3 linked regions of the Danio rerio genome follow. The protein of the gene in region 2 purifies or fractionates together with the protein of the main gene of each other region. This does not show direct contact. Links are inferred from orthologs where the notes say so. Each region holds a gene or a part of one and is shown on either strand. Other genes may lie near its edges.

The links. Proteins that work in one complex are often made in the same cells at the same time.
Region 1: the proteins of vapb (region 2) and rab3gap2 purify together in Homo sapiens (affinity purification with mass spectrometry; 4 studies listed by BioGRID and IntAct, counting the BioPlex papers as one, with this or other methods). This does not show direct contact. The link is inferred for Danio rerio from reciprocal best matches to the Homo sapiens genes VAPB and RAB3GAP2.
Region 3: the proteins of vapb (region 2) and vps13c purify together in Homo sapiens (co-immunoprecipitation; 3 studies listed by BioGRID and IntAct, counting the BioPlex papers as one, with this or other methods). This does not show direct contact. The link is inferred for Danio rerio from reciprocal best matches to the Homo sapiens genes VAPB and VPS13C.

Annotation. Positions count from the first base shown.
Region 1 is NC_133192.1:27,009,397-27,013,102, reverse strand, and holds part of rab3gap2 (rab3 GTPase-activating protein non-catalytic subunit), read left to right. Parts: intron 1-1,554; coding exon 1,555-1,621; intron 1,622-1,752; coding exon 1,753-1,823; intron 1,824-1,896; coding exon 1,897-1,932; intron 1,933-2,021; coding exon 2,022-2,141; intron 2,142-2,284; coding exon 2,285-2,500; intron 2,501-3,706. UniProt on the Homo sapiens protein: Regulatory subunit of the Rab3 GTPase-activating (Rab3GAP) complex composed of RAB3GAP1 and RAB3GAP2, which has GTPase-activating protein (GAP) activity towards various Rab3 subfamily members (RAB3A, RAB3B, RAB3C and RAB3D), RAB5A and RAB43, and guanine nucleotide exchange factor (GEF) activity towards RAB18.
Region 2 is NC_133181.1:52,216,172-52,220,402, reverse strand, and holds the start of vapb (vesicle-associated membrane protein-associated protein B/C), read right to left. Parts: upstream 2,941-4,231; 5' UTR 2,684-2,940; coding exon 2,626-2,683; intron 1-2,625. UniProt on the Homo sapiens protein: Endoplasmic reticulum (ER)-anchored protein that mediates the formation of contact sites between the ER and endosomes via interaction with FFAT motif-containing proteins such as STARD3 or WDR44.
Region 3 is NC_133182.1:29,675,091-29,678,796, forward strand, and holds part of vps13c (intermembrane lipid transfer protein VPS13C), read right to left. Parts: intron 2,816-3,706; coding exon 2,689-2,815; intron 2,605-2,688; coding exon 2,369-2,604; intron 2,238-2,368; coding exon 2,096-2,237; intron 498-2,095; coding exon 357-497; intron 259-356; coding exon 177-258; intron 85-176; coding exon 15-84; intron 1-14. UniProt on the Homo sapiens protein: Mediates the transfer of lipids between membranes at organelle contact sites. Necessary for proper mitochondrial function and maintenance of mitochondrial transmembrane potential.

The DNA of each region.
Region 1 (3,706 bases), on a different chromosome or scaffold from region 2:
ATACAAATCAGTGTAAACTTAACCTAATCAAACTTAATCAGTGTTGTGCTAGTTACTGAAAAATTGTACTAGTTACAGTTACTTTATTCAAAAAGTAACTCAACTACTTTATCGGTTACTTACACCGAAAAGTAATGCATTACCGTTAAAAGTAACTTTTAAGTTACTTTTCCAAAGAACATTCGTAATGCTCCCATTAATGCCCTTATAACTAGGGCCAGATGGAATATACAGATAATTTTTGCAATTTCTGTGCAGAATTTTTTTAAAAATCTGTGAATTTATGCAGATTGATTTTGGGAGTATCATAAATAAAACCTTAATATATTAAATAAAAAGTAATACCTTTTTAACTTATATTTAATGTTTACAATGCAAATCCAATTAGATCCACTTTATTTGGTAAACAAAGCAAGTCTCTCATAAAATATATCTACTAAAAGACTGAAAATATTACTTTACAAACTTTATTGTAAATACATCAAGCAAACATTTTAATATTAAAATTATTATAGCACATTATTATTGGTAAAAGCTGAATAAATAAAAATATACACACGTTTACACAAGTAAATAAACAGAACCAATGATGGGCTAAAATTCTGCGGAATTCCTCACACGCAGATTCCGTGTGGGCCTACTTATAACATCTCTTCAGTGCTGCATGGAAAATACACCGTTGATCAACTTCACAGTTGTAATTAATTTGCATTCTCACAACTAAAACACAAAACAAATTTAAATAAATGAGTGATTAAAAATGACTTTTTATTTAAGTCAGATTTAAGTTTAAAGTGATAAACCAGCTAAATAATATATTCAAAGACAAAAAAAAGAAAAAACTAAAGTTGCTTCAGCAAAAGTTGTATTTCACCCTTAATCATGTTCCTTCACAGCTTGAGTATAAAAATAGCGACAATATACAACAAACACAAAAAAATAAATACATGAAAGTTATATGAACTATCTATTTTGAATCAATGTGGTGAAACTCAGCACCAAAAAAAACTGCTATTATAGACAACCATAATCTATGCATTTTTTAACAAAAATTTGATCTATTTCGAACGTACACTTGATCTCTTTCGCCTGCACACTTGGTGTACCTTACGTACATTTGGTCTCTCTGCTTTCGCTTGACTTTTTCCAGTCTGGCGCCTCATACACAACGTATTTACTGTGGTTGGTTGGCATCCTCCTATCCCACATTGCATCGCTGATGTATACACGGCTAGACTGTAGGCTAGACTGCAGCCAAAATTCATTAATTTACCAAGAAATGGACAAACACATCATATTGTGACATTAATGGAGTTACTATATCTAAAAAGTAATGCGTTACAGTATTAGTTACTGTCAAAAGTAATGTCATTACAGTAATGCATAATTGCCCAACACTGGTCTTAATCATATTCTTTTTGTTAAAAAATGTTTTTGGATGTTAACTCAAAAAGTCAAGAAAATACAACAGCAGTTTTTATCCTGTAAATAATAACATAACTGTAATACTGGATAAATGTCAGCCAATCACAGAGAACTCTTCTCTCTGTTCAGGTGGGACAGTACTTAGAATGGTCAGTGGAGTTTTTGAAGATGATCTCCAATCCTCACATTCAGTTGGGTAAGAGACTGAAAAAAGTTCACAAGTCAATCACGTTTTTTTTTGGACCGGAAGTTGCCACAACACATATAATCACAACTAAAGTATTTTTTGTGAAAACTCTCTCTCTCCTTTTCCTCCTATTCTTCCAGGTGTTTCAGCTATGATGTGGCAGACCTTCATTGTCAAGCGGTTTTCAGCTGCTGCCTTCCTAATTGAAAAGGTGTGTTTATGTCAGTTCATTTTCTTTGTTCAGCTTCTATGAAATAATTGACTGTGTGTGTGTGTTGATCAAGGTGGGAAAGGCACCTAAAGACCGGCTGTGCAGACGGGTAAGAAAAGACACAAAGCACGATTTCAGTTCAGGTCTGTGTCATTGGAATTAACATCTGTGCCTGATGTGTGTGTGCATATGTTTTAGGATGTAGGAATGGGGGACGCGGCTGTGAGGAGTTTCCTGGGCTCCTGTGTGCAGTTGCTGCAGGCTCTGATGGAGGTCTCATCTTCCTCTTTTCTTCCTTCCTATCCTTTTTTCTCCAGAGTAAGGACAGATCAAATGATGGATGCATGGAGCAGAAGCATGGCTAAAGTTATTGTAGCACTTTCAATGACGCTGATCAGTGAATGGGTTGATGTAAAAGAGTTAGATCTATTTTAATCTGCTCCTCTCTTTTTCTCTCTCAGGCGGATTCAGCAGTGGAGGAAGTGCCTCCTCCAGATGTGTGTGTGGAGGAAGCGTGGAGCGCTGCAGACGGCCCGGTGTCCATAGTAGAGTTAGCTCTGGATCAGAGATCTGTTCACTATCCTCTCGTTCAGCATCACTGTGTGTTGGCGACTCTCCTGCATGCCGCCATGACCTTCAGTCTGCGACTGAAGCCGCTCAGTCTGTTCGACAGCAAGGTAGATTTACTACACAGATTTTATACATTCTTACATGCACGCCATGCTGAAAGTTATTAGGACTACATCTGTTCCATTCCATCCTGACTTCCATAATAGGAAAACAAATATTATAGCAGTTAATGGTTACAGGTTTCCAGCTGCCTTCAAAATATCATGATTAAAGGTCTCATGAAATTAAAATCAGTCTGTTGGTTTTAAGGATATCTATAAGCTAGTGTGCTCCAAAACGGTGACATAATTCGTGTTTGGAAAATATAAAACTGATATAAACATCCGAAGCTTGCAGTTTGTCACCTCTGCCTAAATTGATCAGCATTTTTTTGTCGCCTCATATAAATCTTGACCAATCAAATGCTCTCTTGTATCTGACATGCCCCGCCCTACCCTATTTAAGATGCTTTCAATTTGATTTTCTTTTGATGCGCTTGAGCCCCACCACTATCACTGGCAGAGCTGTGGTAAAAGCAAAACACTATTGGCTGTTTTTTTAAGGGGAGGGGCTACTATATGTCCTGCCTTATCTTCGTTTCTCAGGTGAGATTACATCAAAAATCGAATAACAAAAATGCACGTTTTAAAACACTTCACGGAACCTTCAATATGATATGAGTAAAATGAACTGTTATGTTAACGTGAACATTATTTTACATATATAAAAAATATTTCATATTATATCAAAGAAACTACAGTACTATTGTTTTGTACACAATAAACAAATATAGATGTAGATGCATAACTGACATTTCCATGGGCTTTACTGCTTTTTTTGCAATCACCATCTTACTGTTACTGTGCGTTCACACCAAAGACAACAATGCTGTCTGCCTTCACAGCTCCGCTGGCAAGAGCGTCAAAATTCGCTAATTTGATCTTGTATTTAAAGTGGCCGTTGCAGCATATCAGCAAATCAGTTTAATTCACGCATAAAACATGCTTTGTAGAATAAAAATGTTCCTCACTTTTTTATTAAATTTATATTACAATGGGAGATCAATTTGTTGTGTGTGGTGTGGCCTTGCTCCACTTATCTAATATGTGTCCACATGTCTGAAATACTCTGAAGCAGCAATATTGTTTTGTACTGTACATGAGATTCCAGCTTTTTTAAAGAAAATATCTTTATATATATATATATATATATATATATATATATATATATATATATATATATATATATATATATATATATATATATATATATAT
Region 2 (4,231 bases):
GACACCACTCCTGCTCATACTTCAGCTTCCACAAGTTCCTGAAAGCAAGGAAGGTTAAGGTGCTCCAGGATTGGCCAGCCCAGTCACCAGACATGAACTTTATTGAGCATGTCTAGGGTAAGATGAAGGAGGAGGCATTGAAGATGAATCCAAAGAATCTTGATGAACTCTGGGAGTCCTGCAAAAACGCTTTCTTGGCCATTCCAGATGACTTTATTATTAAGTTATTTGAGTCATTGCAGAGATGTATGGATGCAGTTGTCCAAGATCATGGGAGTTATGCAAAATATTCCTTCTGTTTCCACTGCACCATGACTTTATATTCTATACTGTACATTATTTATGTTAAGTGACAAGACTTTTGTCTAAGCAAAGTCAGACCTTACTGTCCTAATGAAATAATTAAAAATTAAGGCATGATCATATTTTATTTTGGTAATAAATAAATAAATAATAAAATAAATTAAGAGTAATCTAGAGGCCTTTGCCCTTCATATAAGCCACTTCGGATGCCAAATAATCAACTAGAAGTCAAGTTATTATTTGTTGTTCCTAAAACTTTGATAGGTGACAAGCTACTTTTGTCAGGTAGTGTAAAGCAGTATCATATTTAGTGGTAAGGTGACATTAGTACAATAAATAGACCAGCATGCAGTCAATAAATCATTGTTAAGGGTCTATGCTGTGATTGTGAACTTCACGAGCTAGTGTAAGGTTAATTCTTATGAAAAACAACATGTTTTCAAGCTGGTTTGGCTCACAACGGCTTTGCTTCCAAAAGAATGTGTTCCTTGAAATGTCAAATATGCGAATTCTCATTGGATTAAAAGATTCTTATTTCAAACACCAACATAACTATGACATTATTATCTATAAAGTCGTATGAACTTTGAAGTTAGATAATAATACAGGTGTTTGATGTCTTCCTGACTGGGAACAGCATCAAGGTAGGCGGCCAGATTTCTCCATAAAAATATTAAACATCTTCTGTACAATTAAGCCAGAAATAAACAAAATACATCACACAAACAAGCATTCAAGTTGTTTATTCCTGCTTATGGCAGGAAATACATCTTGTAATTATCTGACCATGAGGAGAAATGTTCAGAGTGGATCAAAGAGAGAAGTAAATGTCACATAATGACAAAGAAAACTATTAAGACATGCATGTGGGATAAACAAAATGTTGCTACACAGTGTCATAAAAAACCCTCAACAGCACATTTTGTAAGTGACAGCAAAACACAAATGCAACATCAAGGGCATGGCAACATTGGTTGAACTGCTTCAGTTCATAACCAAATTAACCAACCCACCAATAGAGCGGTGTGTCAAGGCCTAAACAGACTAGCTGAAGCTAATGTCCTTGTCAGTCTTCTGCTAAACTTAGAACTACACATACTATTGACATTTTAAAAATTATGGCTTTCTTCTATGAGGGGATCATGCCACAAAGGCTTTTGTTTATAAAAGAACAAGACAAATACAAGTATCCCAGAAATGATGAGGAATGTAGCCAATGATATGGCGATTTAAAAGCTTGGAAAGTCATTCTTATTTTGTGAGTCTTATGGATCAGCTGATTGACATGGGCATGAAGTGTACAAGTGAAACTAGCATTAGTCTGTTTAGTGATAGTAATGTAATGATAGTCTAAATGACATTAACCTAGAAATCCTGTAAAAAAAAACAAATATGTAAATGGAAAATGATTTAATTTTAAATGTCGACCAAAGACCAATGTTTTATCCAAAACACCAGAATAGCTTTGTTTATGACATTAGTATCAACATGTCCACGTCATGCTGAACTTTGAAGTGGAATAATAACAAAGGTGTCTTCAGACTAACGCTAATAACTTCCTGACTGGAAGCAGCGTCAAAGGTAGGTTGTCAGTGTTGCCAGATTTCTCTACATGCTAGCTATTCTGACAAAAGAAGTTAAAACATAATAATAACCAATTGCTTCACCAAAAGAAACCGAAACACATCAACCCAGATTTTCATTATTGCAATATTTACAATAACAACTCTATCCTGCAAGCGTCTGCATAAGGGAAAAGATTAGCAATTGCCTTTGACAGCTCGCTCACAGCGGTCATTCAAATGGAGAAATCATCTCACAATGATGACAGAGATATATCATGACATGCACACACACTACACGTAGGATAAACACGCATTTCGCTATTGTATTATGTAAATAAGCAAATAGTGAGCACATCTGATTAGCGACATTTTACATGCGGACATGGCAACACCGGTTGAACCGCTTCACACTAACCGAATTAACCAGCCCACCAGCAGAGCCTGTATGTCAAGGCCTAAATCAAGCTAGCTCAAGCTAACACACTTGTCAGTCTATACAACAAACCACAAAGCGAACACCTTATCGTGTCACATTAGGTGTCATTTTAGCGGAGTTTGAATAATAAACCGATTGAGAAACACACCGCTGCGCCATAATATTATTATGATTACTCCAAGCACCGAGGCCTGCCAGAAACGCCATCTCGCCGCCTCCTTCAGCCCCCAACCACTAAAAAAACACACCCGCTGACCCTCCCTCTTCATCCAGGGCGTTTTATCCGCAAGTCCTCGTCAGTGTGGGGCTTTCTGGACTCACCTCGGAACCTGAGCTCGTGCTGCGGTTCCAGCAGCAGGACCTGCTCTGGCCTGGCCATCTCCCACTGCAAACGCTCGGACTGACCGCTCGGACTGACGGGGGCGACGGGCTTTGACGGCGGAGGCTGTAGTCGATGAGGACTTCTGTTACATTTATCGAAATAAAAAACTCCACGCGGCAGTGGAAATAGCTCAGTGTTACCCGATCCGCCAGCGACTGTTGTGATGCAGCAGGAAGGGACTGTTGGAGAGAGAGAGGGAGGCTGGCCGTGACGTCACTCCCTGCCCCTGCAGTATGCACTCAGTAGTGGCGACTGATGTGAAGGGTGGAGGTGCTGATCTTAATGGGTCATCTGTGCATCTTCAACACTGTAAAATATACTGTAAATGTGTAAATCTTATAAACTTTACAGGTAATTTAACTATGAATCAATTAAAATGATTCATTCAAATTCGTAAAACTCAATATTAAGTTAGCTTAAATACTTAAAGACTGATTGTGTTCAAACAATATCACCTATATACTATATAACTGCAGGTTAACTATGTTTACATATAATACCTTAATTATATAATAATTCAGTGTTAAACTAAATTAGCCGTAGTGCAGCTGGAAGGGCATCCGCTGCATAAAACATATGCTGGAATAGTTGGCGGTTCATTATGCTGTGGCAACCTCTAAAATAGAGACTAAGCCGAAAGAAAATGAATGAATGATTATTTTAAATTATTAGTAACTAATAAAGTTATGGTAACTAATAACCTAACTTTTCTGATTTTGAATGTAAAGCTGCTTTGAAACAAAAAATATTAATGAATTAAAATTATATTAAAATAGGTAACTAAAAAAGACTGATTAATTATGTTAATATAACATTTAAAAAATGCTGTCGTGACTTTTGATCATCTTTTTACACTGCATGTTATGGTAACTTTGCAACATGTGATGACCTCTAAAGAAAGTTGTACTGCTTTGCATGTTTAATAATTGAAAATAGTTCTTTCATTCATTCGTTCATTTTCCTTTGGCTTAGTCCCTTTATTCATCAGGGCTCGCCACAGTGGAATGAACTTCGCCAACTTATCCAGCATATGTTTTACACAGTGGATGCTCTTCCAGCTGCACTATGGCCGATTTAGTTCATTCAATTTACTGAGAGCGCATGTCTTTGGACTGTGAGGGGAAACCAGAGCACCTGGAGAAAACCCATGCCAACATAGGGAGAACATGCAAACTTCACACAGAAATCCCAACTGGCCCAGCCAGGACACGAACAAGCAGCCTTCTCAACAGTGCAAACCACTGAGCCACTGTGTCGCCTAAACATAATTATACAAGAGTTTTATTACTGTATTGTAAATACATCTCACTAAAACACCTGTATTTCTCTATTAGTCTCAATGAACAAAAGCATTATTCACACAAATATATTTGGGATATTTCTGAATATATTTTAGAAACATGCTATTATTGTGTCATAATTATTTTTTTTCACCTTTCAAAATGTTAAAAATGTAGCTGAAACTTTGAAATAAAATATTTTTAATAATGTATGCTAGTATACACTCAATGGCCGCTTTATTAGGTACACCTGTTTAACTGCTCG
Region 3 (3,706 bases), on a different chromosome or scaffold from region 2:
TGGCCATCACTTACTTAAACTGCATGACTTGGCTGTGCTCATTAAACCTCGTGATGATGCTCACATCGATGAATGGCTTTGGCTCTAAAGATGAAAAATAGTTCATTCACTTCGCATGTGCACTCAGAAGTCTATTAGCTGAGACACAGTCTTCACATGCTAGCTACTGTTTGTACCTGAGTCCTGAACAATGGATTTTGGAAGAGGAACAGGATGAAACACAGTAGGAAATATAGCTCCTGGCAGCTGATTATCCACCTGGAACAAATAAATGGTGCACATAATAACTGAACGGCGGCCAAAAGCAACGGAAGTGTGACATTCAACAAGTACTGTAAGAAGTGTGTATGCGTTACCTGTAGCCAATAGAGCTGTGCACGTAGACTCCTCTGATGAGGTGACTGCTTCAGCTCAACATGAATGCCAGGCAGGAAGTTTCTCCTTATCTGGCAGGAAAACGGCTGTCTCATTAACATGGGCACTCTTCCAAAGTTCACCTGTTTTAACGAAGACGAAAAAGAATACCATGAAATCCAAGCATCATAAAATGTCTAATGACATTTTTGTTATAACTATTATTCAAATATACACTCAGAAATTCATCCTATGTAAATCCTTTTAACATTGGTAACTGCATTTTTAAAAAAATGCAATCTTACAAAGGGTTATTTTTCACCTATTAGGTCATGTTTTATATACAAAATAATTTTAAAAGTTCATTTTGACGAAAAAAAATAATAATTTGAAAGGTCTGACATGGAAGATTTAGTATTTGCTAGGCCTGTCAAGATATCTTTTTGTTTTGCACAATATATTACATCAAAATATAATGCAATAAATGATATTATTATAATTTTAAGACCATTTTATGGCACTCATTATTTAATGCCAGAATGACAACATTGTAGCATTACAATGCAAGTACACTCTTCCAAAGAACACAAAAAATGTTATTCTTAAGAATATTTAATTTTATTATAGTAATTTTAACAATTTAACAACTCTGCATTGGAATCAGAATGTAAAAACTCATATCCTAAATAAATAATAATAAATGTTTTCAAAAAAATTGCAAGGTAAAAAGTAACTGAGGCACAACCAACTAGAATTTGCTAGAATTGGTTTTTAGATATAGGCGATATATATTAAATCACCAAAAATTAATAAGGTCATGTTCATGTGTTGTGCGATATATTGAATATTGTGACAGACCTAGTATCGGGTGACTTTTGTGACGGTAGTAATATTAATTTTATCATTATTATTACAATTATTAATGAAATGTTAAAATCACCTGTTGGGATTCCAAATTCAGAAATAGATGTATTTTAGTAATTTTAAAGCCCAGTGTATTTAAAAATATATATTTATAGATAAAATAAAAGATTAAATATTGGAAAACGTAATATGTTACTACCCTTGGTTTACATTAAACATTGAATATTTTACACTAAAAGACCAACCTTGAATTATAACTATTTAAAAGAATAGTTCACTCAAAAGTAAACATTTGCTTTTAATTTACTTGCATTTTTAAACAGGAATCTTGCATGGCAGACTGTGAAGAACATGCTTAGGACTGTTTGCAGAGGCTATGGATTGCATGTAATGTAATGCGTTGAATACTTTCTTGTTTCTTGCACAATATTGTTTCTTTTTATAAGACCTCAATTTAACTTAACCTTTATCTTCACATTTAGTCATTTGGCAGACACTTTTATTCAAAGCAAATTACAATGAGAATGACATCAAACGACTGATCATAAAAAGACAGTACTCACATCATGTGCTACTAGTGCAAAGCTTCTGATTTACTTAAAAAATATATAAGTTAGGTGATAGGAGCAGTTGAGGAAAAAGAGAAGTTTATATATAGTACAGCATATATACAGTAGTTCTGTAAATGTTTAAATATTTTACTGACACTCAATTTGCAGGTAGCCTTTGATTCTATTTTATGAATGACCAGTCTCAGATTTATGTTTAATTTAAGAAAGAAACCTACATATCCCTTTCAATTTGGATTTTCATGTCAGTGTTAAATAATTGTGACATTTTACATGTTCAAACTTTTTGTGGTGAAGTATTTAATTACCTCTATGCCAGTTTCAAGCATAGTCCAGCCTGGATCACTCTTGTTGATGTGGTTCTGGTAGGCTTTCTCTAGCAGTCCAATGTTCTTGTGATTAAAGGACTTCCAGCGGTTCTTCGGTCTCATTTCCCAAACCACACCAGAACTTTAAAAGGGGATTCAATCATCACGTCACCAACTATACAATCATGTGGCATTTATGCTCCCTCTTTAACGGTTTAGTAATTATTATAAATTAATAGTCACACTGGTTGTTGCTGGGTGTGGATTATTTACCTGGTAATGCCAACATATGCAATTTCCTGCCTGATGTCATTGTTGATGAGTGACAGGCCCAGGTTCTGTAATGAGACGTTGACTTCCTGCTGGAACTGCTCCAGCTCCTCTGCTTGCCGTGCTTTTGTGACTATGCCAACATCCTCAGTGAAGATCAGCACCCGCTGCCGGCCATCCAGGAAAGACACCCAGTGAATCTGAACCAAGCTGCTGTAAGCAAACTGCCCGCACTCATCCTAAAATAAAAGAGCATGAGAGGAAGTGATGAGCATGGCTGTAAGAGGGTCAGTAGATTCACTAACGCTCAATCTTTTTCTAACCTTGACAAGGTCCAGTTCTCCAATGTGGTCTTGACAGCTCCAACAAAGCTTCCTCACCCCTGCTGGATCATCCCATGCAAAGCGCTGAGCTTCACCTGGCCTCAGAGCCCAACACTCCTCACAACCTCTGCACAAGCACACAGATACACATTCACACACTCAGAAACACTCAATAAGAGTATGATCATACATTCACTGACACCAGATACTTTGATCCTACAGTTTGACATACTGTATGTGAATGTTTCAAAATAAATGCTATGCCATCGGGTAGTTAAAAGAACTCAGTTATAGGAACTAGCCGCTGTGGTTGTCCCAGGACCGTATTCCTGGTTGTATTTGCAATACCAGAGTTTTTTTTTTATACCATAGAAAAAAATGATGTAAACTGCCTGACAGTGACATTGATTAAGCGTGATATTCAACAACATGAAGGGGTCAGAGTTGGGTCTTTAATTGAGTCATTATTTTGTTGTACGTCATGGATTTTGTGATAAGAGACAAGGAATGCAGACATCACAACTTGAACAACTTGAAGGGCTAAATATCATGGAGACTGAGACAAGAATACAACCCTGCAGAGACTGGCAACAGTTTATGACATTAACGCTTAATTGATGTTAATGCTTATGCATTGTACTAATAAATTCTGTGCTGCAAAAGTCCTGAATGGCATGCACTCGCCCTATCATTCCCCATTTACATCACTGGTAATTCTAACTGTGCTGGGTCAAGCCCTATTCTGGAATATATATCAATTTATATACAGTGCTCACATATAAGTATACCCATTACAAATCTCTCTTTTAAATTAATATTTTTAATAGGAAGCTATGCAATATTATATTTGTGCATGTACATTAGATTAGTCAGTACTGAAGCCAAAACTAGAGCTTATCTAACAATATTATTTAAGATAATGGTAAAAAAAAATAGTAAACCCACATTTATATGTTATAGAAAAATATTAAATACAATTTTTAAAAATCAAGAGAAGCAGAAAAATATGAAAAATTGT